Linked DNA regions of Caenorhabditis elegans. The protein of the gene in region 4 purifies or fractionates together with the protein of the main gene of each other region. This does not show direct contact. Each region holds a gene or a part of one and is shown on either strand. Other genes may lie near its edges. The genes, in order: T27F6.6, fbxa-12, gly-13 and tofu-4.

Evidence for each region.
Region 1: the proteins of tofu-4 (region 4) and T27F6.6 fractionate together in Caenorhabditis elegans (co-fractionation; one large-scale study listed by BioGRID). This does not show direct contact.
Region 2: the proteins of tofu-4 (region 4) and fbxa-12 fractionate together in Caenorhabditis elegans (co-fractionation; one large-scale study listed by BioGRID). This does not show direct contact.
Region 3: the proteins of tofu-4 (region 4) and gly-13 fractionate together in Caenorhabditis elegans (co-fractionation; one large-scale study listed by BioGRID). This does not show direct contact.

The regions. Positions count from the first base shown.
Region 1 is NC_003279.8:12,488,479-12,496,474, reverse strand, and holds T27F6.6 (Putative neutral sphingomyelinase), read right to left. Parts: upstream 5,500-7,996; 5' UTR 5,496-5,499; coding exon 5,402-5,495; intron 5,144-5,401; coding exon 4,876-5,143; intron 4,229-4,875; coding exon 4,021-4,228; intron 3,749-4,020; coding exon 3,485-3,748; intron 3,062-3,484; coding exon 2,830-3,061; intron 2,354-2,829; coding exon 2,115-2,353; 3' UTR 1,945-2,114; downstream 1-1,944. Other genes in the region: T27F6.7 (uncharacterized protein), read right to left, coding at 328-523, 606-756, 1,351-1,642; pars-2 (putative proline--tRNA ligase, mitochondrial), read right to left, coding at 5,680-5,865, 6,082-6,267, 6,649-7,047, 7,334-7,606. UniProt on the Caenorhabditis elegans protein: Catalyzes the hydrolysis of sphingomyelin producing a ceramide (N-acyl-sphingoid base) and a phosphocholine. C.elegans contain specific sphingoid bases, which are unique or different in structure compared to the sphingoid bases found in other animals.
Region 2 is NC_003281.10:2,216,387-2,223,891, reverse strand, and holds fbxa-12 (F-box domain-containing protein), read right to left. Parts: upstream 4,185-7,505; 5' UTR 4,096-4,184; coding exon 4,043-4,095; intron 3,319-4,042; coding exon 2,703-3,318; intron 1,734-2,702; coding exon 1,527-1,733; 3' UTR 1,451-1,526; downstream 1-1,450. Other genes in the region: srd-65 (Serpentine Receptor, class D (Delta)), read left to right, coding at 1-85, 439-535, 589-729, 774-1,052, 1,095-1,173, 1,222-1,409; C39B5.14 (Fungal lipase-type domain-containing protein), read right to left, coding at 6,797-6,947.
Region 3 is NC_003284.9:9,292,126-9,299,784, forward strand, and holds gly-13 (Putative alpha-1,3-mannosyl-glycoprotein 2-beta-N-acetylglucosaminyltransferase), read right to left. Parts: upstream 4,498-7,659; 5' UTR 4,468-4,497; coding exon 4,384-4,467; intron 4,338-4,383; coding exon 4,179-4,337; intron 4,004-4,178; coding exon 3,959-4,003; intron 3,912-3,958; coding exon 3,856-3,911; intron 3,805-3,855; coding exon 3,696-3,804; intron 3,647-3,695; coding exon 3,502-3,646; intron 3,457-3,501; coding exon 3,347-3,456; intron 3,292-3,346; coding exon 3,212-3,291; intron 2,965-3,211; coding exon 2,815-2,964; intron 2,771-2,814; coding exon 2,680-2,770; intron 2,631-2,679; coding exon 2,518-2,630; intron 2,084-2,517; coding exon 1,876-2,083; 3' UTR 1,532-1,875; downstream 1-1,531. Other genes in the region: B0416.3 (uncharacterized protein), read left to right, coding at 45-156, 315-391, 439-565, 1,011-1,135, 1,188-1,241; B0416.7 (uncharacterized protein), read right to left, coding at 4,885-4,936, 5,007-5,113, 5,423-5,519, 5,654-5,796; B0416.2 (uncharacterized protein), read left to right, coding at 7,134-7,197, 7,257-7,406, 7,451-7,565, 7,609-7,659.
Region 4 is NC_003279.8:4,822,994-4,829,084, forward strand, and holds tofu-4 (Twenty One u-rna (21U-RNA) biogenesis Fouled Up), read right to left. Parts: upstream 3,647-6,091; 5' UTR 3,641-3,646; coding exon 3,341-3,640; intron 3,296-3,340; coding exon 3,122-3,295; intron 3,074-3,121; coding exon 2,966-3,073; intron 2,922-2,965; coding exon 2,689-2,921; intron 2,645-2,688; coding exon 2,528-2,644; intron 2,483-2,527; coding exon 2,176-2,482; 3' UTR 1,911-2,175; downstream 1-1,910. Other genes in the region: F57C9.6 (G-protein coupled receptors family 1 profile domain-containing protein), read left to right, coding at 22-140, 198-336, 639-836, 890-1,030, 1,734-1,818; htp-3 (HORMA domain-containing protein), read left to right, coding at 4,086-4,142, 4,193-4,346, 4,396-4,499, 4,544-4,656, 4,702-4,853, 4,903-4,996, 5,044-5,228, 5,273-5,637 and 1 more.

The DNA.
Region 1 (7,996 bases), 7.7 Mb from region 4:
TGCCGGAATTAAAGCTGTCCGGCAAATCGGCAATTTGCCGGAATTGAAAATTTCCGGCAAACCGGCAATTTGTCGATTTGCCGGAAAACACTTGTCAAACCGCAATTGCTGCTCACTCCTGAGAAGAATTACGAAAAGTTAGAAGCTACAGTACTCTTTAAAGGCGCACACCCTTTTGAAGTCCACAGAAAATTGTCGTGTCAAGACCATTTCTGGCTCGAAAATCGCCAAATTTAGCGTTTTTCAAAGCTAAAACCGCTAAAAAGATCATTTTTGGCTCAAAAACAGTAATTTCACGAAAATATTTCAACTTTTCCGGCAACTAACCCCATGTTCGGCAACCCGAACCTCCTTTTTATGGATATCCTTGGCTTCGTAGTAGTTCCGAGCCTTGGTAATCGACAAAAGCATCGAAGTCTGAATTCCGACAAGTGTCAGGTAGAAAATCGATAATGTGAGGAACGTTGGCGTCTGTTTGTCCGGTGGATAGGCGAACAGGGAAGCCGAGTTGACGAGGTGATTTCTGAAGAAAAATTGGATTTTCAAGTGGTGGCCGAGGTTTTTCAGCTGCGTTTTCTAGTCCGCCGGGCAGTTTCTAAACTTACGCGGCCAAAACGTAGACAATCAGCTCGACGACAATCAAAAACGTGTAGACCATGATTGCTGGGATCATATGCACCGCAGACTCCTTTTTTATTCCGATTATAACTTGCCAATGGACTAGGACGCCGATTATCAGGAACAGGAGGGAGGCAACTGCAAAAATTTTGAATTTTTTGGATTTTCAGGACGAATTTTGCTTAAAAACTGGAAAAATAACTCAAAAATTTGAATTTTGCGCCGACCGCATGTTGCAAGCGCGCTCTATTGCGAAAACTACCAGATTTGTCGATAGAGCGCGCTTACTGCATCCGATCGAAAGTTTTTTTAGGTTTTCGAAATAAATTTGTGATCAATTTTCAAAAAATCGAATTTCAACTTTCATGAGAAAATTGTTTGAATTTTCGTAACATTTCACGATTTGTAGAGATTTCGTGCTAGAAAATCAAATTTCACGCCTGATGCAAGTCTGCTCTATTGAGAAATGCCCCAGAAATTTCGAATTTGAAGGAAAAATTCCAGTTTTCCAGCCGATCGCTGGCAAGCGCGCTCTATTGAGAGATATGCCGAAAACTTAAATTTTCGGCGAAAAAATCAACAGAACCTGAGATTATTATCGTTTTTGTGCAAAATTTTGGCCAAGATCTTTATAATAGACTCAAAAATTTAAATTTCGCGCCGATCGCATGCTGAAAGTGCGCTCCAACGACAAAAGTGCCGGAAATTTAATTTTTCATTAATTTTCCATACCAACAGTGCCCGCATCGAAACCTCGGCCATGATCATCCCATCGGAATTCGAACAAGAACATTGCAAACGAGAAGAGCGAGCAGCTGAGCCCAAAGCCAGCGGCAATGGCGGCCGCCCGTGTCGCATGTGTAAAAAACGCGCGGTATTCCGGAGCGTCGTCGTCAAAATGTGCCACGTGGCAGAGCGTGGGTGGCGGCCGTTCGTCCACTTCGTCACCGGGCAGTCCGAATCGCGAGTAGGTGACCTGGGCGTTCTCCGATCGACGTTTCAACCATCCCAACATTCGATCCATTGTGTTTCTGCAGAAAAATCAGCTAGAAAGGAGTTTATGGCCTAACTTCTTTTCAAGTTGGTGGACTAGATTTACGACAACCGAAATTTGAATTTTTCACAAAAATCTGTCAAAAATGGCGAATTTTGACCAAAAATTCGCCAAAAACCATCATTCCAAACAGTGGTGGCCTAATCTTCAGGTAGATTTTTCTAGTCCCCGCAGTTTTCTGGCAGTGGCCTGACTTTATTAATCAATAAAAATATGAAAATCGCATGAAAACGATTCAAATTCACAGAAAAAATTAGAGAAAAATCAAAATATATAATAAAATTCTTCATTTCAACAGGAAAATTAGCAAAAAAAAACTATATCACAGAAAAAAATCGATAAAACGGTTGAGAAACTAGATGCCCTTAATAATAAAGCTGTACAAATTCGAATTTTGGCGGGAAATTTGAATTTTTGGGTTAAAAATTGCAATTTTCAGCGTTTAATTATTCAAAATCTGCTGAATCGCCTGTTTTGCGGCCTTCAAAGCCTTCCGTTCCAACGTTAAGCCAATAAGTCCTTGCCAAACGAAGAAAACTCCAACGACAGTCAGTGCAAAGCGTAAAACGGCGAATCCCATCGGAAAAACTTCGAAAAATAGGCTTCCGAGGATTAAAATCAGACAAATTACCGCCAAAATGAAGAAAAAGATGCGATCCGTGCGTGCGCGACGTTCTCCGCCTGAAAAAATGCAAAAAATTGGGGAAAAATCGGCTATTTTCAGTTGGTGGCCGAACTTTTCATTTGGTGGCCTAGTTTTTAAAAAACTTGATTTTTATGGACTTTTTAGTTTTACGAACATGAAATAAATTTTTTAATGTCAAAAAAAAAGAAAAAAAGTAGAAAACCACAAAATTTGAGCCGGTGGCCTAACTTTTTTTCTTGGAGGGACTAGTTTCCAAATATTCTAGGCCTCGAGTACAAAATAAGATTTTTTAAACCAATTCTCGCATTTTTTTGCACAGAAACATGTGTTTTTCCCAGGAAAACTACGGAAAAGAGTTCGACCACCAATTTCCACTCGGTGGCCTAACTTTTCTACACGATGGCCTAGTTTTTCAAAAATTCTAGGCCACGAGTGCAAAATCTGTGTTCTTAAACACTACAGAAAAAAGTTCGGCCACCAATTTCCACTCGGTGGCCTAACTTTTCCGCACCTGCAACAAGCCCGATAGCCTCAATAAGCAACGGACGATTCGGTTCCCAAGTGTTAACAGATTTTTCGTGTCGAAAACGATCATCAATCGTGAAACGAGCGCGGAGGCCAACGTGATCCGAATAATTAAGGTCTTCACCGGGAATTTGGTTCAACGTGATCTCACATTCCTCCAATTTTACATTGCACCGCCCGGATTTGAATAGCATATAGTCGATGCGTTTGGAGTCGTCCTGAAATTTGAAAAAAATCGATAAATTATTGATTTTTCCTATTTTTTATTTTTTTTTTGCGTAAAAATTGTGCACATCGATTTTTTGGAGAAAATCTGGTGAAAAACGCTCTAAAATTCAAGGAAATCGGTTCAAATTCAGATTTTTCAGATAAAATACCAAAAAAAATCCCTGATTTTCTCCAATTTTGTGCTGGAAAATTGAATTTCGCGGCGATCACTACATTGCAAGTGCGCACCAATGAGAAAATCGGGGAAAATTCAAATTTTCGTGAAAAATTCACGAATTTTTATGAATTTTTACAATTTTCATAGTATTTTAGGCTATAAAATCCAAATTTTAGCAATTTTTATCCTAAATTTTCGAATTTTCGAGTAAAATTCACGATTTTTTCAATTTTCAGCGAATTTTTCAAATTCGCACCACATTTTTCAGCGCCCGCTTCGTATAACAATTGTCTGGTCGATCACACGTTCCGCCTTTTGCAATTCCTCGAAATTTGAGTAGTTCTCCTTCGGAATCCTCATTTTCCACTTCGTGGCTCATTCGCCACGCGTCGAAAAGTTTGGCATGCGACAAAATAAGCCGGAAGCCCAAATCACACGGTTCCATATTCAAATCTCCGGTCACAATGACAACGTCGGCTCCGCGAGCCGTATGGCGGACGAATTGAGCAAGTTCGAATGCCTGAAAAATTAAATTTTGTCAAAAATTGTCTATTTCACTTATTTTCGAGTCACATGCTCGAAAAATTGACTCGAAAAATCAAATTCCCAGCTGCAAATGCGCTCTAATGCATAATTATCAATAGAGCGCACTTGCAAGAAGTCCTATGGATTTTTTGGCGGGAATTTGAATTTTTGAGTTAAAAACTGCGAAATCTTGATGGAAAAATTAATTTTTTGAGTAAAACTTCCTAAAATATTGATTTTTTCTGAATTTTTCGAGTTTTCAAGCACCTGCGCGGTTCTGTGCGGCAAATAGAGATCATTTTCACGATCGTACTCCGCGTGAAGATGTGTTGTGTAGAAATTGACGCGCAAATCGCCGTCAATCTCGATTTCGGTAAGCCCGACAACTTTTCCGCCGAACCAGTCGCCGCGGTGAATGTGATGAGCGAATCCGTTGAGAGAATATCGATTTGTTAAAGTGGATACGATTGGGTGTCTGAAAATATGGAAAAAAATTGGAGAAGATTTGATGAAAATTCGGAAAAATTTTTTTTTTTGGATATTATATTATATTAAATTTTATTAATATTAAAAGGATATTATATTAAACGTAATTTTGTTCAGTTTTATCCTTTTAACCCAAATATTCCACAAATTTCTAAAAATTTAACAAAATGTTTGAAAAAAACCGAAAATTTTTTCAATGTGAACAAGTGGCGCAGTGGGATTTTCGATGGCTACCACCAAACTGAAGACCGGGGTTCGACCCCCCACGGTGGCAACTATTTTTTGTTTTGCAGAAATTAGATTCTAGACGTTGTAAAATGAGCAGGAAACTGTTTTTAGTGAAGGTTTAGAGTTGAGATTTGGATTTTTCGAAAAAAAATTGTCATATTTTCAGAAAAAATTACATGTTTTCAGAAAAAATTTTTAAACTAATTTTGTGGGAATGCTAAGATTTTTAAGTTAAAAAAAAAACTTTTGCAGCGTATGCACAATAAATCAAAAAATGTTGCCTTAGTGGGGACTCGAACCCCGCTCTTCAGATTGGTAGTCGGCGGAAATCCCACTGCGCCATTCGGACAACTTTCGGAAAAAGTAGGATTTTATCGATTTTTTAAATCTTTTTGTAGAAAAAATCACCTAGAAAACACACAGACACCACTGCCAGTGAATCCCGAGTGAAAATAGTGAAAATACGGATAAACCGACGAGACTTGCTCGCTGAGTCGCACAAAATCATAATATGACCAGAGCTCCTGGAGCCCGACAATGTCGTAGAGCTCATCAATCATGTATTGGCCGATTTTATTCAGTCGGTGAACTCGATCCGTAGATCCGATGGGCCAGGGTTGTGGGAGACACCACGCGTTAAGGGTAACCACACGGAGTTGACGAGCAGCCACGTTATCTGCAAAAAATCGATAATTCGGGAGGGAAAATCGTGAAAAATTAGATCCCTGATTGAAAATTAAGCTAAAATACGCGCAAAACTAGCGAAATATCAATATTTTGATTCAGAAATTTGAAATTCCCGCCGATCCTGCTGCAATCGCGCTCCAACGACAGTTTTCTCATTGGAGCGCATTTGCACAGTGCAGTCGGTAGAAAATTCAAATTCTTGGGTGAAAAACTTGAATTTCAGCCGTTTTTTTTCCAATTTTCTCACTTCTTCTCAACGCGGCGAATGATTCCCGGCGGAAAACCGGCTCCATGTCGACTTTCTGACTTTCCTGGGACTCTTGCTCGCTGGATGGCTCCATTAGCCTGGAATATGGGCTTAAATTCGTGTTTTGAAGGGCAAAATAGGTATAAAAAGGTTCGAAAACCTCAAAAAACACTAGAAAGAGTCTAAAAATCACATTTTTTCAGGAAAAAACAAGAAAATCAAAGAAATGTAACAAAAAAACCATAGAAATCTCCTAAAAATCAAATTTTCAACAAAATTCAATGCTGATGAGATCCGAGTTGATCAAGTACTTGATTATGTGCCAAATGACCAGAATCGTGTGCTCCGCCACCTCCATAAAGCGTAGATTGCACAAAAGTCACGAAACGGTCCAAGCTCATTGAGCCCTGAGACATGGGCTCCGCAGACTTGGCGTGTGTCGTGAATACCTCGATGACGGGCTTCTGAAATAGGGGAAAATTGGCTTAAAATTGTGTTTTTTTAGGCTGCAAATGCGCTCCGATGTGAAAATTATCATTGGAGCGCATTTGCAGTAAACGAGCAGCGGAAAATTTGAATTTTTTGCTGAAATTTTCAAATTTTCGCCTATTTTCTCCCGTTTTTTCGTGGAATTTCCGCTTTTTCTTTGCTGAAAAAATGGAATTTTCGACCGTTTTTACCTGCGTAGCAAGACTCCGCTCCGTCTCGTTCGCAATAACGAGAATAAATGGAATTCCGAGTCGATTTGCGTCGTGAATTCGCTTTCCGGCCGACATTTCCACACGATCGTCCAATAAAATGCCTCCTTTTAGATAACGAGAAGCCGACGAGCTCGCCATTTCCACAATCACATTCGACATGAGGCTCTGCAAGGAAAATTGGTTGAAAAATTAATTTTTTAAACATTTTAGAGCAAAAATCGCCAAAAAGCGTCAAAAATCATCTCAGAAATTCACATTTCTTGTCGATCACAGGTTGCAAGTGCGCTCTAATGATATTCTATTCGTTTTTTCTCCAAAAAAATCATTTTCAGTAGGGAAAATCGAAAAAAAAAAATTTAACACGAAAATGGCAGTTTTCTCAATGGAGCGCAGTTGCGTCATGCGGTCGGCGGGAAATTTGAATTTTTGAGTTGAAAACTAAGATTTTATCGAATTTTCTGGATTTCGCAGTGAAAAATCTTGATTTTTCACGATTTTTTAGCGAAAAATTCGATTTTTCTCAATTTTTTCTCCAAAATTGCTCACTTTCTTTACAATAATCACAGCATCGAACGGAGCGATAGCTCTGGGCAGTCGGAGAGCCTTATCACTAACTGATAACAAATCAATTGCCGCCGGAAGAAGCCGTGTTACACCAATTCCAAAACAGCACATATCCAATGGTTTTCCTTGAAATTTGGCTCCGAGAGCTTCTGAATATTTGGTGCCGAGGTGGAATGTGTGCGCAATTTCGACGGATGGGATTTTTTGCACAGTTTTTGATGAATTTTCAGCACATTTTTCACATTTCGCCGGCCCTGGACCTTCGAATTTGTTGTGATTTTTGCAATTTTCGCAGAAATTCACAAAATCCTCCTCCAAACTGCTTTTCAGGTGATATTCATGACTTATATGACCTCCATGTACTCCGGAATCTGCTTCCACCTGAAAAATTTTGGATTTCTGTCGTTGGGGCGCGTTTGCAGCAAAATTTAAGCCTAAAATTCAGATTTCCCGCGGATCGCACGTTGTAGATGCGCTCTATCGACAATTCGCAATAGAGCGCACAAGCGACATGCGGTTGGCGGAAAATTTGAATTTTTGGGTTAAAACTCGAGTTTTCAACGATTTTAGACTAAAAATGAGTCAAAACTTGCCAATTTTAGCTCAAAATTTTGAATTTTTGAGTCTAAAAATCGATTTTTCTACTTTTTTTAAATGAAATTTTCACCTTAATCACATCCTCGTCCAACTGCAAAATCTCTCCAAAAATTCGATCATAAATCTGACGAATCTGTGCATATGTTTGTTGAGATGTCTCCGCATCAGTGGAAAACGAATACATATCCTTCATTAGAAATTGACGCCCACGCATTAATCCGAATCTCGGATTCATTTCATCGCGAAATTTTTCACCGATTTGATAGACAATAAGGGGAAATTGTGATTTTTTGAGCGGTGATAGTGTTGCGATCAGTTCTGTGCACATTTCCTCGGCGGTTGGCTGAAAAAATTGGATTTTTTCGGGCAAAAACCTAAATAATTTGAATTTCTGAGTTAAACTTCGAGTTCTCCGTGCTAAATAACATATATCCTTTTATTTTTAGAGTGTTTGGACGAAATCCCGTTAAATTCGGTGTCAAGTACGCAAACACCAGGCTACAGTAACCCCGGGACACTTGATTTGACGACATTTTGCACTAAAGACCTGACAATTGCGGTCTAGGGGTAATTTGCTATGGGAACTCCGATTTTGAGCTCAGAATTCCGAAGTTTTGACTATTTAGTGGATTTTTTCGGCAAAAAGTGAATTTTTGGCCCAAAAGTTTGGCTCGTAAGTCAAAAGTCTGAAAATCTGAGTTTAAATTCGGATTCCACGTGGTAAATAATCCCT
Region 2 (7,505 bases), on a different chromosome or scaffold from region 4:
TCTTAAAAGCCATGAGATATTTTCTCTACGCTTCATGTACGGCTACATTTGTTTCTTTAACATTGGCGTTTGGAACACAAACGAGGTTTGCGAGAATCTGAGATTGTGCGGTTTTAAAGGTGGAGTAGTGCCAGTGGGGATTTTGTCTAAATGCACTTATAATGATCCAAAACAACCGAATATCATCATAAAACACTCCAAAAAATTTTAGATTTTTCATAATTTCCGGTCAAATTGCAAATTGCCAAAATTTTCTCGACTTCCAAAATTATGAGTGGCAAAAACTGAGTAATTGCCACTTTTTGACAGTAAATAAAAAAATTTCAAAAATTTTTTGAAAAGTTTTATCATGATATTTGGTCATTTTGGGATCAAATAAGTGGTTTTTCACAATTTCCCCACTGGCGCTACTCCACCTTTAAGTTAAATTTTTTAAAGAAATATTGATAATGAGAATTCCATGGGGTTGCTGTGTGATGGGTTTTGTAAGTTTCTCGGGCCAACGTTTTGTGCGACGTGCTATAAAGCATATGCGGTGAGATATCCTCTTTCAAGCCCTGTAGGCCCTCTTGTCCTCCAAATTTCCAGACTTCTGTACTAACAGTGAACTTGATCAACTTGCACACTCTCTACTATCGCACCGTATGTCTGAAGTTGATCAACGCCCAGGAAATTGGCCGTAACACCTTGATTTTTTCTTGGCATTACCTGTTCATAATAGCCTATCTGGTAGCTAGACGTCGTACAAAGCTAGCCAATCCATATTATTACAGACTTCTACCTTGATTCCTCCCTCCGACCATCTGGCAGTCTACAATGAAACGCTAGCCCATTACCCTGAGTATGACTACACTCCGTATCTGAATTTTGGAGGGTTCAGCCAAGCTCAAAAAGTTTATCTCGATAATTCTACAGTGGCTATGTTCCTTGTCACGTTGTATTTTCCAATGATCGGCAGCTACTGGAAGCATCAGGCGATGAAGCTTCTTAAACCTCATGTATCCCCAAACACATCGGACGCTACACGTGTTATGTTTCGGAAAATGATTATTGTAGGCGTAAGCTTTTGTTATATAGCTTAATTTGGTTTCCAGGGCCTGAACTTTCAAATCTTTCTGCCGATGCTTAGTTATATCCCCGTAGTGTTTTTATTTATTCTGATTCAAGTCACTGGTAAGGGAAGCTTATCAAACCAATATAATTTGTATATATCACCTTTAGGCCATCAATTCCTGATCTCTCAGTACACAATAACCTGTCTAGGAGCACTTCCTTGCTTCTTGGATCCAATTTTTCAAATTTACTTCATTACACCGTACAGGAACGCTGTTCGGGCTTTCTTCGTGCGGAAGCCGTCTGCTGATGGTAGTTGGGCTACAAGAGTTTCAGCAGTGAACAGTGTTGCTTGAAAAATTATTAATGGGCTTTTTTTTCAAAAATGAAGCATGTTTTTTATTAAACTTTTTTAATGCACATATGAATAATTTTGGTCGTTTGGAAAATATAGAAACAAGATCCCTTTGTTGTCAGCATTTTTTAATAACAAACCGTGCTCTAATAGTAAGTGATGATTTGAAAGAAATTTCGAAGGTGCCAGTGTTATTAGAATATTTGATGTTATAGTCAATGTCGCCCATATAGTCCGGTTGAAATATTCTTGCAAGTTCAATTGATTGCACATTATGGTGAGTTGAAATAGTGCAGGTCTTGAATGTAGTTTTGTTCATGAGGTCCTGAAAAAAATTTGGGTATACAAGTAAGATGTCTTGACTTGATTTCGGTTTACTTAAATTTACGAAATCTGGTGATCCGTCGACTTTAAATGTATCTAAATCAAGTTAAAACTTAAGATAGCTATATGGTAATTTCATAAAAGTTAGTGCTTGACAAGTCGGTCAAATTTCAAATTTCGGTAATTTTTTAAACCACCGCAACTTTTTTCAGAAGGTTTCGAGAAATTTCATTAGGTTATTCATGCATACATACACACCACTACTTCATACATACATACTATATACATACATACTACATACATACATGTTGCATACATACATGTTACATACATACTATATACTACTACTACTACTGCTACTAATACTACATACTAGATACATACATACTACATACTACATACTACATATATACATGCTACATACTACATAAATACATGCTACATACATACATACTACATACAAATTATATACTACTACACACTATTACTACCAAGGGTGTCATTTTTCGATTTTTAGATTTTTCGATTTTTTCGATTTTTTAATTTTTTTCAGTGAAAATCGAAAAATCGAAAAATCGAAAAATTGAAAATCGAAAAACGAAAATTTTCGATTTTTCGATTTTCAGAAACCGAAAAATCGAAAATTTTTCGATTTTTCGATTCTCTGGAAAATCGAAAAATCGAAAAAGATTTTCGGAAAATTATCCTTAAAATATGATTTTTTAAATCTAATTTTGCTTGAATTTATAATAAAACATACACATTTCTTCTAAAAAGAAGAATAATGGCTAAAATATGAAGCTAATTTCTGAAAAAAAAAAAAAAAATCGAAAAATCGAAAAAACGAAAAACGAAATTTTTCGATTTTTCGATTTTCAAAAAACCGAAAAACGAAAAACCGACACCCTTGATTACTACTACTACTACTACTACTATATACCACATACATGTGAAAATCAGAAAAACTCACATCTCGAATTTTAATCGCATTTGGCATTGAGAGATTGTCAATTTGAATACTGAACTCTTCAAAGTGAAAAAAGTGCTCAATTGGTACTAGATCACAAAACAAAAACCGACAATGCAAAGTTCGTGCTTTTTTCCATTGGTCCAGACAAGTGATTCTTTCAGATAACTCGACTCCGTCGCGGTGCCATAATACAATATCTTTGAGCACTTCAGCTTGACAACTCGAAATGATGTTCAAAATATCATCATGTGGGAAGTTGTATAGTACTACTGACTCTACGGCTATACATTTATTTTCCAACATATCATTTATCGACGATGTGATGGCTTGTTGTTTTACTTTCGAATAGTTCTGAAAAACGAACTTCTTCACGTTTTTCAATACGCTCGCCAAGTCGTTGAACGCTGCTCGCATGAAATTGTCTTCTTCGATTTTTGTTTCTCGTCCTTTGTAAGTCACGTATGCAGTACCAGAAACATCGGTATATTTGATTTGACTTCCGTTTAAGTCCATCGCAACGAAATCATTACAAATGTCAAATGAGATTCTGTTGAGATGGTTTCCTGATTGGTCAACGGCGCTTCTCAGACTTTTGCACACTTTACGGCAGGATAGTCTGGAACATTGCATTTTTACTAAAAAGATTTTAAGACTCCTTTGAGCTGGAAACACTTATTTGGTACCGAAAAGATCAGATATAATCATGAAAAAAACTTAAATTTTTGGCACGGAATTCAAATTTTAATTTCCCAACAATATTTGGCAGAAAATTCAAATTGAACTTTTTAAAATATTTTGGAGCACATTTCAAATTTTTATCATAAAAAAATTAGGAACCAAATTCAATTTTAAAATTTTCCAAAATTTTGAATTTGAATTCAAATTCAATTTTTTAAAATTATTTGGCGGAAAATTCAAATTTTAATTTTTTAAACATTTTGGCGCCAAATTCAAATTTAAATTTCTCAAAAAAAAAAACGTTTTTAATCTTAAAAAAATATATATTCAAATTTTAATTTTTCAAACATTTTTGGCACGAAATTCAATTTTTTAAAGAATAAAAATTTTGGCGCCAAAATCAATATTTAAAAAATTTGGGTACAAAAATAAATTTAAAATTTTTAAAACATTTTAATATTCCAAACAATTTTGGCATAAAATTTAATTTTGTTATTGAACAAATAAATTTTGACGCACCGTTAATATCAACATTTTTAAAAATTTGTGGCGCGAAATTCAAATTAAATGTTTTTTGAACATTTTGGCGGGAAATTCAAATTTTTTAGCATAAAGTTTGACTTTCATTTGGAAAAATTTGTGAAATTATAACTTCAACTTACAGATCCATTGCAGGCAATTTTGACAAAATTTCATCAGAAATTTCCAAAGGCATACTGATAGTGAGCAAAGTTGGCGATAACTTGGACATTTTACTGGAGTTATATGTAAATTCAAACGTAAAAATGAACCAAAAACGTCTATTCACTCTCTCTATTATACAAACTCCAATGACGCATGGTATTTAAACATTTCCTCCGTAAAAAAAGTATGACTCCATCCGTTTTTCCCGAAAAAATATTTAAACTGATAACAGTCACACATTGGTATAATTTCATTTTACTCGAAACTTCCCAATTTCTTCAAATTTTACACTGAAAACTTCAGGTTTTTACTTGAAAAAAGAAACTTTCGAAAATGCCTACTTTACTAGAATTGCCGTTGGAAATTGCCAATCATGTTTTGAAAAGCTGGAGCCCATTGAACGGTAAGTTTTTTTGCATTTTAACAGCAATGCGAATTTTTCATTTTCAAATTTCAAAATATACAGAATAATCTCGAAACTCTTAAAAACTACGAAAAAAACTATGATGTTGAGCAACTTCTGGCCAATCAGAAGGGGCTGCTTTCCTCCGCTGAATGGTTAAGAATTGGGTGCAGCTAAATGCTGATTGGTTGAAAAGTGGGCGGAGCTAAACGTTGATTGGCTGAGAAATAGGCGGAGCTAAACGTTGATTGGCTGAGAAATAGGCGGAGCTAAACGTTGATTGGCTGAGATATAGGCGGATCTAAACGTTGATTGGCTGAGAAATAGGCGGAGATAAACGTTGATTGGCTGAGAAATAGGCGGAGCTAAACGTTGATTGGCTGAGAAATAGGCGGAGCTAAACGTTGATTGGCTGAGATATAGGCGGATCTAAACGTTGATTGGCTGAGAAATAGGCGGAGATAAACGTTAATTGGCTGAGAAATAGGCAGAGCTAATTGCTGATTGGCTGAGAAATAGGCGGAGCTAAACGTCGATTGGCTGAGGAATAGGCGGAGCTAAACGTTGATTCGCTGAAAAATAGGCGGAGTTAAACGTTGATTGGCTGAGATATAGGCGGATTTAAACGTTGATTGGCTGAGAAATAGGCGGAGATAAACGTTAATTGGCTGAGAAATAGGCAGAGCTAATTGCTGATTGGCTGAGAAATAGGCGGAGCTAAACGTCGATTGGCTGAGGAATAGGCGGAGCTAAACGTTGATTCGCTGAAAAATAGGCGGAGTTAAACGTTGATTGGCTGAGATATAGGCGGATTTAAACGTTGATTGGCTGAGAAATAGGCGGAGATAAACGTTAATTGGCTGAGAAATAGGCAGAGCTAATTGCTGATTGGCTGAGACGTCGATTGGCTGAGGAATAGGCGGAGCTAAACGTTGATTCGCTGAAAAATAGGCGGAGCAAAACGTTGATTGGCTGAGACGTCGATTGGCTGAGGAATAGGCGGAGCTAAACGTTGATTCGCTGAAAAATAGGCGGAGTTAAACGTTGATTGGCTGAGAAATAGGCGGAGCTAAACGTTAATTGGCTGAAAAATAGGCGGAGCTAAAATGGTAGGCTTAGACTTAAAACTTTACTTGCAGTGTTAAATCAAAAACTATTTAAATTCCAGACTAACCTGCCGTAAAGTCTGTCGAAGCTTGAGAGCCGCCCTTGACAAGCTTGGAATCCGTTTTGACACCATCAAGCTGGACGTTATGAGCGAAACCCTTTCAATACGGTTTGATAAGATTGAACTGGAATACACTGATTCAGCTGTGATCTACAAAGGACGGAAGACTATTATCCAAGAAAAAGATTTCATGGAGTTGGCATTCAAGGACCTGAAAATAGCAATGAACCATGCATCTTCATTTGTTCTGCAAAACTTTACAAGAAATAAAAACGAGGTTCTCAAATCTCTTGTGAATGTTTTGGAGAACGGAGGAAGCGTTCACGTGAAGAAAATAAATCTTCTATACCTAACATTCAACGAAATTCTTTCAATATTGCCGTGTTTTGAAGCGGACGTGCTGGACGATATTAATTGTTTGCTCATTGGCAAGGTTCTTGATTTTGAAAGGATCACTTTGCTGGATCAGTGGAAATGTGCAAAAAGCTTCCGATCCACGTATTATGGTGTTACAAATTGTTACCTGACAGCAATTGATCATTTCTTTCATTTCGAAGAGTTCTGTACAACGATTGTTCAATTTCCACAAGAAGACGCAATTAAAATTCGAGATGTAAGTTGCAACTGTGATAGTTTTTTTTCTCATTATCAGAAAATTTGAATTCCCGTCAATTCCCGTGGAAAAAATTATCTGTATATATATATTTATATAAATATATATATATATAGAAATATATATATATATATATATATATATATATATATACTATATATATATATGGAGTCATAAATATATAGGCACATCATATATATCATACACCACAGATATATGTAGTAAGTTGCAACTTTCAGGACCTCTTGAAAAGAAGTAGTTTCCGGCGTTGCATTATTTGGTTTGACCCTGGAAATCTGATCGAATTTGCAAGATTGTTTCAACCAGATTTTACTATTGGTGATGAAATGGATATTGAGTTTACAAGCAGTGGAGCTAATTTCAAACTTCGTCGTTATAATAATGCTTCACATTTGATGGTTGAAATTAGAAAATGCTAATTCCTTTTTATTTTATTTTCAAACATCTGTAATGGAATTTCTTGTGTTTTTCGAAACAAAAATTCTGCAACAATAAATTGAATAAATTTACATTTAAAAATCAATAAATTAACATGTAAAATGCCAATCTGGGAAAAATACGCCGAAATATGTCAAATGATCGGGAATATCGGTATCCAGTTGCCTATTACTACAGTATAGGCCATCGGCTTCTGCACAAATGTGGTATGGATCAGTGGTGGTCATGTTGTTGTTGTACCTGCAAAATACAGAAAATTTACGATTAAAATCGTTTTTTTTTTAATTTCAAAAAAAATTCGAAATTTTTTTCGGAATTTTTTTTCAAAATCAAAATTCCTAAATTTTCACTGCTGAATTCAAACTCAGGGCGTTAAAACCTTTAAAATGACCCCCCATATTGCCTAGGTTCCGCGCATTTTAAAAATTTGGGTCCCACCACGATGGGTACTGTAGCTATGACTTCAGCTGTGTCGGAGGACCGAAATTTTCAAAATTGACGGATCCTAGGCAAAATAAGTGTCTTTTGAAAGGTCTACACGAGCTCAACTCGTAAAATTTCTTGAAATTACAATTTGGCGGAATTTTAATTTTTTTTTCGTTGCGAGACCCAAAAAAATTTTTTTTGCAGAATTTTAGAAAAAAATTTTTATCACAAAATTTACATTTCTTATGTTATCATCTTTTAAATGGCACCTATATTGCCTAGGTCCCGCACATTTTGAAAATTCGGGTCCCGCCACGATGGGTACTGTAGCTATGACTTCAGCTGTGTCGGGGAATTTTTTTCAAAGATGAC
Region 3 (7,659 bases), on a different chromosome or scaffold from region 4:
AAATGCTTTTATTATTATTTATTTGTATTTACAATTGTTTGCAGCTACTCACCAAGTTGATTAGCGTGTTGACGATACCCTTCTATGTCGCCATCATCATCTTCATCTCTTTTTTTGGGAACGCAACTTCGGTGATGTTTTCTGTGATTATTCTAGGTGAGGGAGAATTTGTCAAAAAATTTGTTTACATTTCTACATTTCCTGATTATTTTCTGAGCGAATTTTTTTGAACATCAATCAGCGATACAACACTCAAAAAATCTTTTCAAAATCTTACAAATTCAAAAACTAATCCAGCCAATGTATTTATTCAGGGTCCGTATTAATTTCAACGTGTTACGGAGCATTTCGTGGAGCTAAAATGTGCCTTATACCATTTGTGATAATACAAGTGAGTTTTGAACTGCATATTTTGACAGGCTTACCTGAATATTGCAGCTTGTATTTTTAATATACGACTTAATATTAATTACAATTCTATTACTGGCTGTAGTGTTTCCGAAGATGTTTCTGTCAGCCCTTTTAAGGTTGCCACTTGAGGATATCCCGTTCGGGACGGACCAAGGTTTGTTTTTGGCGTTTTTTCTTTATCCTTATTATAAGAAAACGTTAGATATTTTTGCAAAAGCTAGACCTTCAAATGGCTGTGTTTTTTTTAATGATGACCAACTTTTTTAGATTTATTTATTTTGAAAGTTTGATTTCTAAGTCTAATAATCAAACCAGTTATAGAATAGTTATTCACGTGTTCACTGAGGTTTAACTATCAAAACCATTTAGGGCTAGAGCTATAACACAAATATAACTGGTTCATGATACGTAAAAATTAGTTAAATTATGCTAAAATTCAGAAAAGTGTATCCGTAGAATTACATTTTTTTTGTCTGGGATGTCTGGGATAATTGATGTCATAGGTTCACACTATAACACTGGATAGTTATTTCCAATTCATATATATTTACAAAAAAACCTTCTAAAGATGATATTCAGTTTAATAATTTATTTTTCAGTACTCCTCGGCTGCAGTCTTCTTTTAGCTTTGCTTCTTGCCCCTTTAGTTTGGACTACTCATGTTGTTTATATCGATTTTCTGTTTATTTCACAGGTTGATGAAACTTTACACATGTTAAAGGAGGTAAACGCTATCACTTCGGGCTCACCGCTTCACACACTCACCCACTTTACAGGCCAACCAAAAAGTTTCGCAAGATGACGTGTCACCTAACCGTATGATGTTTTAGCGTAGAGATACCACACTCACCAAAAACTCACCAGCCACATGGTTTCCGCCTACTTCTACCATTTTTTTCGACTACTTCTAATCATAATTTTTGCGTGATCTTCTCCAAGCTCTCTGTGTTAGTAAGCACTTTCACACGTTTTCTTCCATTTTTTGAAATTCGGGTTTCTGTGTTCTTGACGAGTGTCTAGCATGTTGCTGTTACACCATTACTTGTCCGCTTTCTTGTATTTTTCTATTGTTCATTGAAATAAAACAATTTCTAATAAATTTCTATTGATTATTTCAGTGTTTGTTTCAAAACGCTCACTCGTTTATTCATTGCAAAAAAAAACTATTTTTCCGTGGAATGTAACATATTGGAAAGAAAAAGATTGATAATCAATTACAATACCCCTAAAATAACAACCAACGTAGCAAATAAAACGTGCAATTGCTGAGAAAAGATATGAATTTCGTAGGGCAATCACATCTCGAAACAAGGTAATAATTTTCACATCAAATTACTAGCTGCAAATGTCAGATTCACTGGAAAGAGTTGAACAAAATAATAGGAATGCAGGCCAGAGTCGACTAGATTCGGTAAGAATGAAACCCGTGAAATATAAAGTTTAAACATTATCAAAGCCACAAAACTACTCTCCAAACGACGGCGGAACCGACCAATCTGGATTATATGCTGACACTTTTGTTCTGTCAGGTACCAAGTAAATACGAATTCCGTTTATAAAACAAGTGACTATTCCATCATATGCAGTACGTGGGACACCAGCTTTGAAATCGTGCATTATATGAAGTTTGTCAGCTTTCCGGATGTAGTCAATATTGCCATCGTACATCACTCTGAAACATACTACAGTTAATTAATGTGTTTAATACAGTATGTATGTTGATAAAATAAGAGATAAGTTGCACAAAATTTGCAAACATCTCTGTCAAAAAGTTAAAAAAAACTAATGACACGAAGCCAGCAAACAATTCTTAAAATCATTTTTCAGAAGTTTTCAAGATGTTGGACTACAACGCATTGCTATTCGGTCTTCTCATCCGTTTGGATAATAATGTTCACTAACTAACAATGTTAAAGGATTAAAGCAATGTTTTTTAGTACTTTCAAAAAAAAAATTGAATGGTTTCTCTTCATTTTAGTTCGGTTTTACTTTCATCGTTGATTCGATTCTTCTTCAAAAAAAAAAAAGATTCCACCAACGTTTTCTTATGACTCATGATCCTCGTTTGTCAATTCAAGGCCCATTTTAAAAGTGCGTTACTCCTACCTGACACTTTTTCCTTTGTTCTCCGAGCTCAATACAAAAGAAGCCACATTATCTATGCTCAGCTCAACGGCTTCCTTCATGACTTCCAAATTTGTTTTCTTCGCGAAATTGGCCTGAAACAGGAAAACTGGGCAGTTTTATGCAAACTGGGAAACCACTCACAGGCAACAAATAATCCAAGTCAATCTTCCCAAAGTTGATGTACTTATCGTTGACTTTTATCTTTGCCAAATGCTTGCTGAAGAACTGGCCTCTGTAAACAGATTTATGAGACTTTTAATTGTAGAAATCTCATACTTGCTGGCGCCTTCTTTTCCATAAGACATCATCCCTGTCCTACTGATTTCAGGTCGGATGCATTGACGATCTTTACGCCGTGCAGGGTCTCGCATCCAGTCATCCCAAAATCCTACAGGCCAAATTGGTTCTAGTTCATGCCACGTTTTCCTGAAAATATAAAAAAATCACAGCTCAAAATTAGCATAAACATTTTGCAGAAATTAAAATCGTAATTTTTGAAATTGTAAGTTCGGTTCTCTGGAAAAAAGTGTTAAGCCTTTCGAAAATGTTACAGATTTCGACAGACAAAATAGTTTCGAAAAATTCTTATAACTCCCTAGTTTCATTATTCTCAGAAAAACATGATATTTCTGTAATAATGACTGATGAGTAAAAATAATTTTCCGAAACTCACGAAGACATCATCCAGCCAAGTCCTGCAAAGAAGTCACTTCTGTACAACGTAGAAGCCGCAGTCATGTCAATATTCTCTTGCTGAAAAAACATATTTTCAGCAACAGTCAATTAAATTTAAGATTGTATTATTCACTTTTCCATTGTCGTTCCAGGCAGTGACGCACCACAATTTCTCATCGTTTTCCAGCAAATATCGCGTACTTGAGAAGTACGAGAAGAAGTCTGGCGAAATGTCGAGATCGTCTGTAATTTTAGTTTATCTAAAATGAAATCAAATGATCACCTTGCCTTCTGTAATAATGACTGATGAGTAGCCCTTATCAACAAAAACGTGATTGAGCGCCAATTTGTAATGACGTGCTATGCGGTAATAAGCGGTGTACTGTCGGTGACTGGGTGGAATTGTGATATTCGCTTTATCGCCGGCCAAATGCTGAAATTATATGAAATTGAGATTGCAGACAGAGATTTTTGAAATCTACCTTAATGTACTCCACTTTGTCTCCAAACTTCTTCACTTCGTTCTTCACATTTTCATTATCACAGTCTTGGGTAACAATGATTGGGAACTTCTCCTGACTTGGTCGGTACCTGGAAACATACTTAATAAAAATTATTGCAAAAATAACTATGGAAAGGTACCTGATAAGTTTCTCAACATGGTCTCTCACTGCCATCGCACGATTACAGGAGAAAACCTGGAAAGAACTCAATTATTTTGAAAAGAAACTCCGAATCTGCATACCAAAACCGGAATGGGGTCTTTCCATTGCTTCAAATCTTGAGAAACCTGAAATTTTGAAATGGTACATTTTTTATTAAAAATTTTTTTATAAATTTGGAGTTCGCAGTTACTCTCGAAGATCATTGAAACCCCTGTTAGCATCAATTCAGTTTCACATGGCAAAAATAGATTTATTGTAACTCTGAATTCAGTTTTGAAATTTCAAAATTTAAACCCTTACCATTTCTTCCATTATCACATGTTTTCCCTTCCTGTTTGCCCTTATTTTGTGCACATCTTCCGCCAACGCAGCAATCTTCTTTGCCTCAAACTTCAATAACCGCTCCAATCTATTCGCTGATTCCAGTAAATCATCAATATTATCCGTATTTCTGGTTCTCTAAAGCTTGGTTTTTATATATTTTTCGAATTAAATAAAAACTTACATTTGTTATATCATTTTCTACGTAGAGCGTCCATAAAATAAATACAAATATGAAAATGATAAAGATTTTTGTCACCGCATGCATGATTTTAGGTGGAAATATGTACACATCCGCCTGAAAATTATTAATAAAAATATACCTTTTAATATTTGAAAAATACAAATAAATATTGCAAAAAAAAAACCACGGAAAAACAATAAATGTTAATAATATTTGGTTAATAAACCGCAGTTTGACGTGGTTTCGGTGAGACTCCTCCCCCATGCAACCCGCCGCATGGTGTTTTGCCACTATGCCGCACACAACTGGGTGACACGCTATTTATTGAGGACGCAAAACCCCACCGCTAATCCCGTAGTTTATGCAGTATTTTGCAAGATTTCGATATGGTGCATGTAATTGCTTTGTAAAAGTATAAATCGCTGATTTTACATTAGTCTGATTCTTGAATTTTATTTTCGAAAAAGAAGCAAAATAAAAAAATTGTGAAAGATCGTAAAATTATTGTGAATTATTCGTATTCAAGTTCAAATGTTGGCGAATAGGAGCGTGTCTGAAAAAATTATTGAATTTAGCTGAAAGTAAAGTTCTATTAAAGCTTATTTAAACTTTATTTGACTTACACAGTTGGAGCCTTCGGAAGCGGAATTCTCCAGATTCCCGTTTTGAAGACAGTTTCAGTGTTGCGACTGCAGTTATGGAATACAACCATTTGGAGTTCAAAATTACGCTGAAATTTTTTTTGGAATTCTTATCAAATATTGTTTATAGTTTAAAAAAAATTTCCAGCATTTTAGTATTATTGCCTACGTAACAGCTTAACTGATATATGTATTTTACTGTGATTTAACACTGACAAAAAATATGAGAATCATGGAAAATAAAATAAACTGTGGAATAATGTTATTGATATGAAGGAACTATTAAATAAATAAAAATTTAAACTCCAACGTTTACGCATGTTTGCCAAAAATTGAATCACTATTTTTACTTGCTTCTAATCATTTGACTTGTTACCAATTCAATTTTTAAAACCTACGTCCAGAAGTCCATCATTTTCTTGCACTCCTCCAATATCGTAAGTTTGAGTAACTTCATTTGAACAAAAATCAACTGAGGCAACTCCGTCGTCGACTCTAAAATGTGTTTGTAATACATAGAAGATTTACATTTAAATTTAAATTTAAATTTTTTTTCTAAATTTAAATTTTTACCATGGAAAATAATTTCTCTCAATGTATGCAACATTTGCTAATCTGATAAAACTCACAATGTATCAACTTCTATAACACGAATTCTTACACACCATGGGGCGTTACTTTTGCAATACACAGTTCCAGTAAATTGAAACTTATTTTCATAGCTAAGAACTCCAATGCATAAACAAGAGATAATAGCTGTTGAAAGATTCATCATTTCTTAATCTGTAATGTCAAACAATAAAAAAAATAAAAACAATTTGTGAGCGAGAAGAAGTGGTCTTTCTCGTAATTGATATTGTCGATTCAAGAGAACTTGTTCTCAAGTAGCTATGACCCAGCCTTGCCAATGGAAATGACGGTCACTAATAGCATCGTTGCAAGATCAAAAATTACGTTTCATTTCGAAAAATTAAATGATGAGAGATCTCGTGACATTTTTGTTTTGTAATTGGAGTGTTGAAATAGTGTATAGCAGAAAACTATCATTGAAATACATATATTTTCAGTCAAACCATGAAGAATCGGGAGAAAAGACAAGTCCAATATCATGTTTCTAATGGTTAACAGACCGAAATAAAAATTACTATTGCGCAGGGCTAATGTGAGACAATTTTTTGGTTTGAAAAACTCAAACTGTTGCCAATTTGCTTGGCTGCCCAATAGATTTTCCAGCCTTGGGTTGCGCCAGTAGGAAAAATTACTTTTAGCTAAAATGACTGCATGCAATAAAAACGTTGGCAAATCCTTTTTTTAGTCTTGTTTCAGTCAAAAAATGTGAACTTCTCGGTTTTTGCAACACATACTTTGTAAATCAACCAAATCCCAAAACCGTCTGACATTCTATGTCGTTAGTAGATTTTATTGAAGATATCATAATTATTGGTGTTCAGTTTTAAATGGTTGGAGACTTTTCAAATAAAACTTATCAAATATCGGGGTCGCACGCTTTTTTGCCGCAAAAGAATAAATGTGAAAAATACAGTTTTTATTAAACCTTTATGTTCATTTTTCCGGCACAGATTTCAAACCGTGAATATCGACCAAACACGTGGTAAGACCTAAAACAAGTGTTTTCGATTTCTGCAACAGTTTTCGTTTATTTCAGTATTTTGCACACCGATTTTTGATCAACGATTTCAATTCACAGGTTAGTTTCAATTTGTTCGCATCCATAACCAGCTTGATGTCACTTCCCTGTCCACTTTATCCATTGAAATACTTCCGACTTTCAACAACTACTGGTTGCAAGGCTGAAACAAACAAAAGAGGGAGTGAAAACGCCCATTACAATTATTGGTTTTACGTGAAAATATGATGGATCGAAATACGATAATGGGTATTGTGCCTGTGAATGGAAATTGGTTTTTTCCCAAAACCTGAAACCTGAAATTAAGACATGGGTCAAAGGGGCGGTGCTTTCTATTTGCAGGATTTGAATGGTTGTATTACTTTTGATCTCTTTTTAAAATTTCATTTATTTTATAGAGATTTTGAAATTCAAATTCAAAATCTTGTAAAAGAAGTTTAGCTTCATCCCAACACTTCTGAATGCCGTTCAGTGTAACGAAGTTTTCTCTAATCTTCGTTGCACTTCTCCTTGCTGAGGCTCTTGGTTAGTGAATTAGGGTTATTATTCTAGAAATGCTCTTGTAGGAATTTATTATATTCTAGTTGCTCAAAGCTCACAATTGGAATCTGTCACTCGGAAGCCAAAACCATTTTTCTTGGTGAAAAAGTCAATGTTGGTTGGAATGAGTGAAACCACTGAAGAAGTATGCCAAACAGTGGTTCTTCATAACTATGAACCAGTGTATGGACATTGTGAGCTTTAACAAAACGTTTATAGGTTATTTTGAAGTTTACAGTGATCAACGGAAGCCTTGTGGAAATTCTGCAAGCCAGTGGTCACAAATTTTCAAAAACACATGTTCAATGTCTTGAAGAGGACCGTCCGTCTTGTCACGGCGTCAAAGATGACATGTGAATATGATATATATAGCATAAACAGAGGAATATTATTCAGGTATATTAGCGAGTGCGTAACAGTGTACGAAAATGCAAACACAATGGTCCG
Region 4 (6,091 bases):
TCTAAATAACCTCCTTTTCAGATGCCGCGTACTCTGGGCAATTGTATTGAGCTGGCTGCTAGCATTCGTCCTCACAGTACTCAATATGTTGACGAGCACCCGACAGAGAAGTGTTATGATTGACACAGAATGTGAAAATGGTACGATTTCTATCTGAAAAAGGGATAAAAGGATTTTAATTGGATTTTTTTGTTCAGAAATGATGAGTGGAGCCTCGTTTTGCATAAAACATCAGGAGACGTCTTTGTCACATTATTTCGTGTTTCATATGATTCTCATTGCATTTTGTCTTATATGTCTTGCAATCACCGCCAGCTGCTACTTTATTCTCTTTAGGTATGAAATTCGTTTCGAAAAAAAAAAGTCTAAAATTCTGAAATACCGCAAAAAATCGGGAAAAAATTAGTCAAAGTACGAATAATCCATAGATTTAACAAAAATATATCGTGAATTCATAAAAGTATGACACTTCAGTTTAAAGGCACATGTTGTTTTACTGAGTGAGTCTCGCCACGATCCCTGCACAGGGATCCCTACAGGTTCCAAATTTTATAGAGACTTCATATGATGTAGATAATGAAGTCTAGAAAGTTTTAAATTCTAAAGTTCTATGCTCTTTTAATTTAAAAAATTTCCAGAATAATCACAAAACTTGTACGAGCCGATGTCAAATACCAAGCTGAAACTGATCTTCTGAAAGAAGATCATTCACACGGAAAATCGATTGCTCGTCGAAAGAAGTACGTGCTAATGATTGGAAGTGTCATTTTGGTATATTCAGTATATCTAACCACTTATGCAGTTATTCAAGGAATGCATCTTGTTAATATCACTAGGTATTTTTTAAATATCAAATCTTAAATAATAAACACGAATTCATTTTTTTCAGCAGAAGCAAAGGAATTCCAGTTCATGCCAGAAGTGGATACATTTTCACAAAATACACGTGTTATTTGTTCATCTCATTTCATTCACTTCTTCAGCCACTTTGTTTCATGAGAATGCGGGAATTTAGAAATATTCTGAAAAGGTATCGTAATTTCACAAGATTTTGACATGCCTACTTGAAGGCGCACGGATTAATTCAAATGGGTCTCGGCGCGCAAAAGTTTATGGTAGGCTTTTTGCGGCTCTTTTAATTTTTAACAGAAAAATGACAAAATTCGCTATATATGTAATAATTTCATCGAAAATGCAAGGAAGACAGCGGCGAAAATTTAAAAAAAACCACCATAAACTTTTGCGGGTCGAGACCCATCTGAAGAAACATATGCGCCTTTAAGAAGGCATGTGAATAAATACACGACATGTCGCGACATAACGAGAACACAAAATTCTGAGAATGCGTATTGCGCAAAATATCTCGTAGCAAAAACTACAGTAATTCTCTAAATTATTACTGTAGTGCTTGTGTCGATTTATGGGCTCGAATTTCGAAATGAATTTCTGTTCGAATTGTGACAGCGATTTCAACTTTCTTTACAATTAGTTTTTTCGTATCATTAGTTTTTTTGATTTTTTGCTCAATTTCAATATCTATAAATAATTTATTTCAAAACTCGGGCCCGTAAATCGGCACAATCACTACAGTAGTCATTTAAAGAATTACTGTAGTTTTCGCGACGAGATATTTTGCGCTTCAAATATGTTGCGCGTTTCTCAGAACTTTGTGTTTCCGTAATAACTAAAAATGCAATGAAACCACTGAAGAAGTTAAATCTTCAATTTTTCAGAACTATTTTCCCCTGCCTAACAAAAACCGATCCGATCTTGACAACGGATGTATTCAAGCGTCACAGTCAACCGACTGATATTTAATAACTTATTTCTTCCATCTCCATTAATGTTTTGTATCAAATTTTTCTGGTCGCTCCCAAGAATCTCATCGCTATTTTTCTATGAAACTTGATTTTCAAAATTTAAAAAAAGTTTTATTAAAAAAAAAAACATCTTACTAGAAAAGAAACAAAGAACGTATATAAAGTGTCGAACGATTGCGAAAAAGCTAAATATTACAGAAAATGTTTGGTCAAATACGGGAAAAAACGATAGATTATATTCTCACGATATAAATAAATTTGAGATTTGAGATTCTCAAACAACAGCTAGATGCTCTAAAATTTGAAACAAACAGAGAATAATTAAAACAATAATGTGACTCGGATAAAAATTCTTTTAGAATTCTGCGTCTACCATCAGATAGTCGAAGTCTTCTTCCTCCTTTATGGTTCCCTCGTCGCATTGACTAGTCAGGTCAGGAAGGCTGTACTGATCAATAGTCGACGGCTGCTCCGATGTACTTTCCACGTTTGTGTAGTCGATTGGAACATCTACATGTCCGAGCGATTTCTGCTTAATCCTTTCGCGAATTTCCTTCATCAGTTTGGAGTCTCTTTCCTGCTTTTTTGAATTTGCGACATTATTCAGGAACTTGATGGAAGACTCGTGAGCATTGAATGTGGATTGGAAGAAGACGAGATGGCTGAAAAATATTCTTAATCAATATATATGGTTTTAAAATACTCACGTAAATGGTTCCTGCCATAATAATTCGTCCGGATATTTGATGTCGTTCTTGTCAATAAATCCTGAATGTTGATTTTGAATTGAAGATCGACTGTATCCATGAACGGACTTTGGAGCACTGAAAACATAATATTTATTCATGATATTTCTCTTAACAATTACTTGTAGCTCGCGATCTTCTCCGAAAAAGGGTTCATATTTAGTTCGACGGCCTGTGCCACTTGCTCTTTAGAGTTTCTTGTTTGGTAGAAAGAAAATGAATGCGAAATAATATCCGCTTCATCCTCATCGGAATTGATTTCGTCTCTTTTTGTTGATCTGATTCCGATACCCATCCTTCTCATTGCTTTCCAATCGACTTCAGGATCGTCTTGTTTGATGTCACTTGTCAAAGACTGAAAAATTATTGCAAATATTTAAATTATAAATTCTTACACACCTTCAGAGTCAATCCTTGCTCAGCAAAAGTGTCACAGGTGTAATCATCTGCAAGTTCCAGGTCCGGTCTCTTGATGCGACGTCTTTTAGGGACTCCTTGAGGTCTGGTCTGCAAGAAATCATTTCTAAATTTCAACAACTAGCATTAAAATCCCACCATTTTTCTTCTATACAGTCGCCTTCTTCGTTGCTTCGGCATCGCTTGTGGTTCGTACTCACAAACCACGTCTTCAGTGTCTGAGACTTCCCCATCTAACGCTTTCTTTTTCTTTTTGAGAATCCTGTCGTTCTTCAACCCACGAGCAATTTTCTGCTCTAATTCTCGGACAATCTTAAAGAAGTTAAATCGATAAAAATTTTTTAAAAGGCAGCATACGCGTTCATCCGGTCGCTCGCCTTCGGAACTTTCTGCAGCATCCACCATCGAACTCTTGTGAGTCTCCACAACGTATTCATCATCACTCTCCTCGTCGCTGCTGCTACTGTGATCATCGTCGTATTCATTTTCTGAAAAACTCTTGTTGTCAGTGCCATCTGCCGATGCGGGCGGTACTTCGATCTCCAACGGATCCTCTACAATTTCTGTTTCAGGAATTCGTGATTTCTTCTCGGGCTGGTTCACTCCCGAAGATTCCGCATTTGCTCTTTTTGATGCGCTTCTCGTCGTCGGTTTCATCTGAAATTAATGTCTCATTATTAAATATAGAAGCTTAAAAACACAATAAATGAATAAGTAAAAAACGTTTATTTAAATTTTAAGTGCTTTCATCTGTTCTTTGCACATTTCAAAGCGGTTTCTAGACTCAAAATACATAGAGATATGCTCAGATTTTAATAAACTACAATTTTAAAACTTCAAAATATGAGAAATTCTCTTGAAAGTGCATTTTAAGTAGAAAATGAACGGAAAAAAATTGAAATATAAAAGAAAAAACTTAAAGGTGCATGACATTTCTTCCATGGGTCTCGACACGAGAACACAACATGTTGACCTGAGTTACGGTAAACTTCGGTTGAAATTAGTTATTTTATGTCAAATTATTCATTTATTTTTCAGTTTTTTCTCATTTTCAATTAGTTTTTAATTAAAAAAAATGTTTTAAAATATTTTAAGTGTCAAAATGGACGAAAGCTTCGACTCTTCTGTTGTCCCTGGCTCTCTGACGAGTGATGACAGGGTGAGTAGATTTGACAGAGTTTTTTTTGTCGAGAAAACGAAAATTTTCAGGCTATATTCAACGAGCAAACATTGAAAAATGGTGATGAAAATTCGAAAAGCTCTCTTGAAGTGATGGCCAACTGCGTTTATCTTGCAAACTCAACAATTCTCCGTGAACGGAAAGTTATTCCTGCGGAATACTTCCAGGATTTTCAAGTTTATGGTGAGGTTTTATCTATCTGACTTGCAATTAAGCATGAATTATTTTATAGGAGATGTCAGCGGATATACTTTGCGACAAGACATTCCAGAAGGACGGAGTGTGTCTTCGAAGCTTTTGGCGTCTCATGACGCGATCCGTCAGAAACTCCTTCAGGTACAGTTTTACTCTCGTAAGTGGTAAAAATTCATTGTTTGCAGAAACTCGCTATTGTCGTTGAAGAGTCACTAAACACGAATCCCGTGGAAACGTTTGTCTGGACCTTTGTCTATGACTCAACCACATCTGCAAGTGCCGAAATCGGATACGGAGGGTTAGATCATTTATCTAAATATAAATTTCACTGACTCTTTTCCAGGCGTAAATCTAAATTTGTGGTGAATTATTTAAACATGGATGATACTGCTCAACAGTTTTGCAAGATGTTCAGCGAGCTTAGAAATGTTCTAAGCCTGCTCCGTCCGCTACCAAGAGGCCTCATTCCATCGATGAAAGTAGCATACAGAGGAGGTAAGGTTAAAAATATTTAATTTAAATCATAAATAAATTATTGTTTTAGAACCGGAATTCGTTCCCGGATTTCAACAAGTCGACGATTTTGTGAATCCTGAGCAGATCAATCTTGGTGCTGTTAGTTTTCCTCACGGCAATGGGTTTGTTCGTCATTTCAATCATCAAATTCTTAATTAAATTGATTCAGATTTCAATTCGCATATGCCTCGAAATTCATGGTTGAACAGCCTTCAGCCATTCGTCCACCAGTGGAAGTTTCTCATTTTGAAGATGATTTGCTCAACTCAACGATCACACCGATCGAAGTTGTTCGAGATAACACAATGAATTGTGCTGAGAATCCTGAACTTGACGAAATCTATTTTTCACCAGGTGCGTTTTGTCGAGAAAAAAAATTAATTTTCTAATGTTTATAGGTCGTCAAGAAGTACGTATGGACGAAGATGTGGCAAACGAATCAATTCGTTGTAATCCAAGTATGGCCAGTGAAATGATGGTTCTGCAGTCCGAATATAATGTATTGATTGCTGATAATGATGAAGTTCCAATGGTTGTTGAAAGGGAACGTTCTCCAATAGTGAAAGCTGCAAAGAAACGTTCAACGAGAGCTCCCGCTGTCCCGATAACTCCAACGGAACCGGCTTCTCCCGTGGAGTCCCCGGTGAAAGAGCAACCTCAAAAAGCGCCAAAAGCTCAGATGAGACGTTCCAGTAAACGCACCACGAAGAACAATGAACGATGCGAACAGAAAGAAGAAGAACCAATAGTGAACCCAAAAAGGGTAATTATTTTTATTGTTATAATAAAAATGTTAAGTTCAATAATTTACAGAGAAGTGCTCGTCGGCTTGTACCTCCAGTTGAAGTCGATGAACAGCCAGAAGAACAAAATGATGATGATGCTCAGAATTCTCTTCAAATTGACTCTGATGCTCAGAATTCTCTTCAAATTGACTCTGATGCTATTATCACCTCTCCCGAGAAGAGAAATGAATCAAAGTCTGCAATACCTGAGGAAGCTGCGGATCTAGATAATACTACATCTGAGAAGCAGGAGAGCTCAACAGCAAGATATGGCGTTTCAAATACTTCTATTAACAGGAAAAAACCAGACCCAGTTGCAAATCCGGTTTCGGAAGAGGCTCAGGTAGATTTGGCGAACGGTAGTATCCCGGATAAAAGACCACGGAAGAGAAAATATGGACGAGTGTCGAGTATTCTCGACGTCGCTGATCT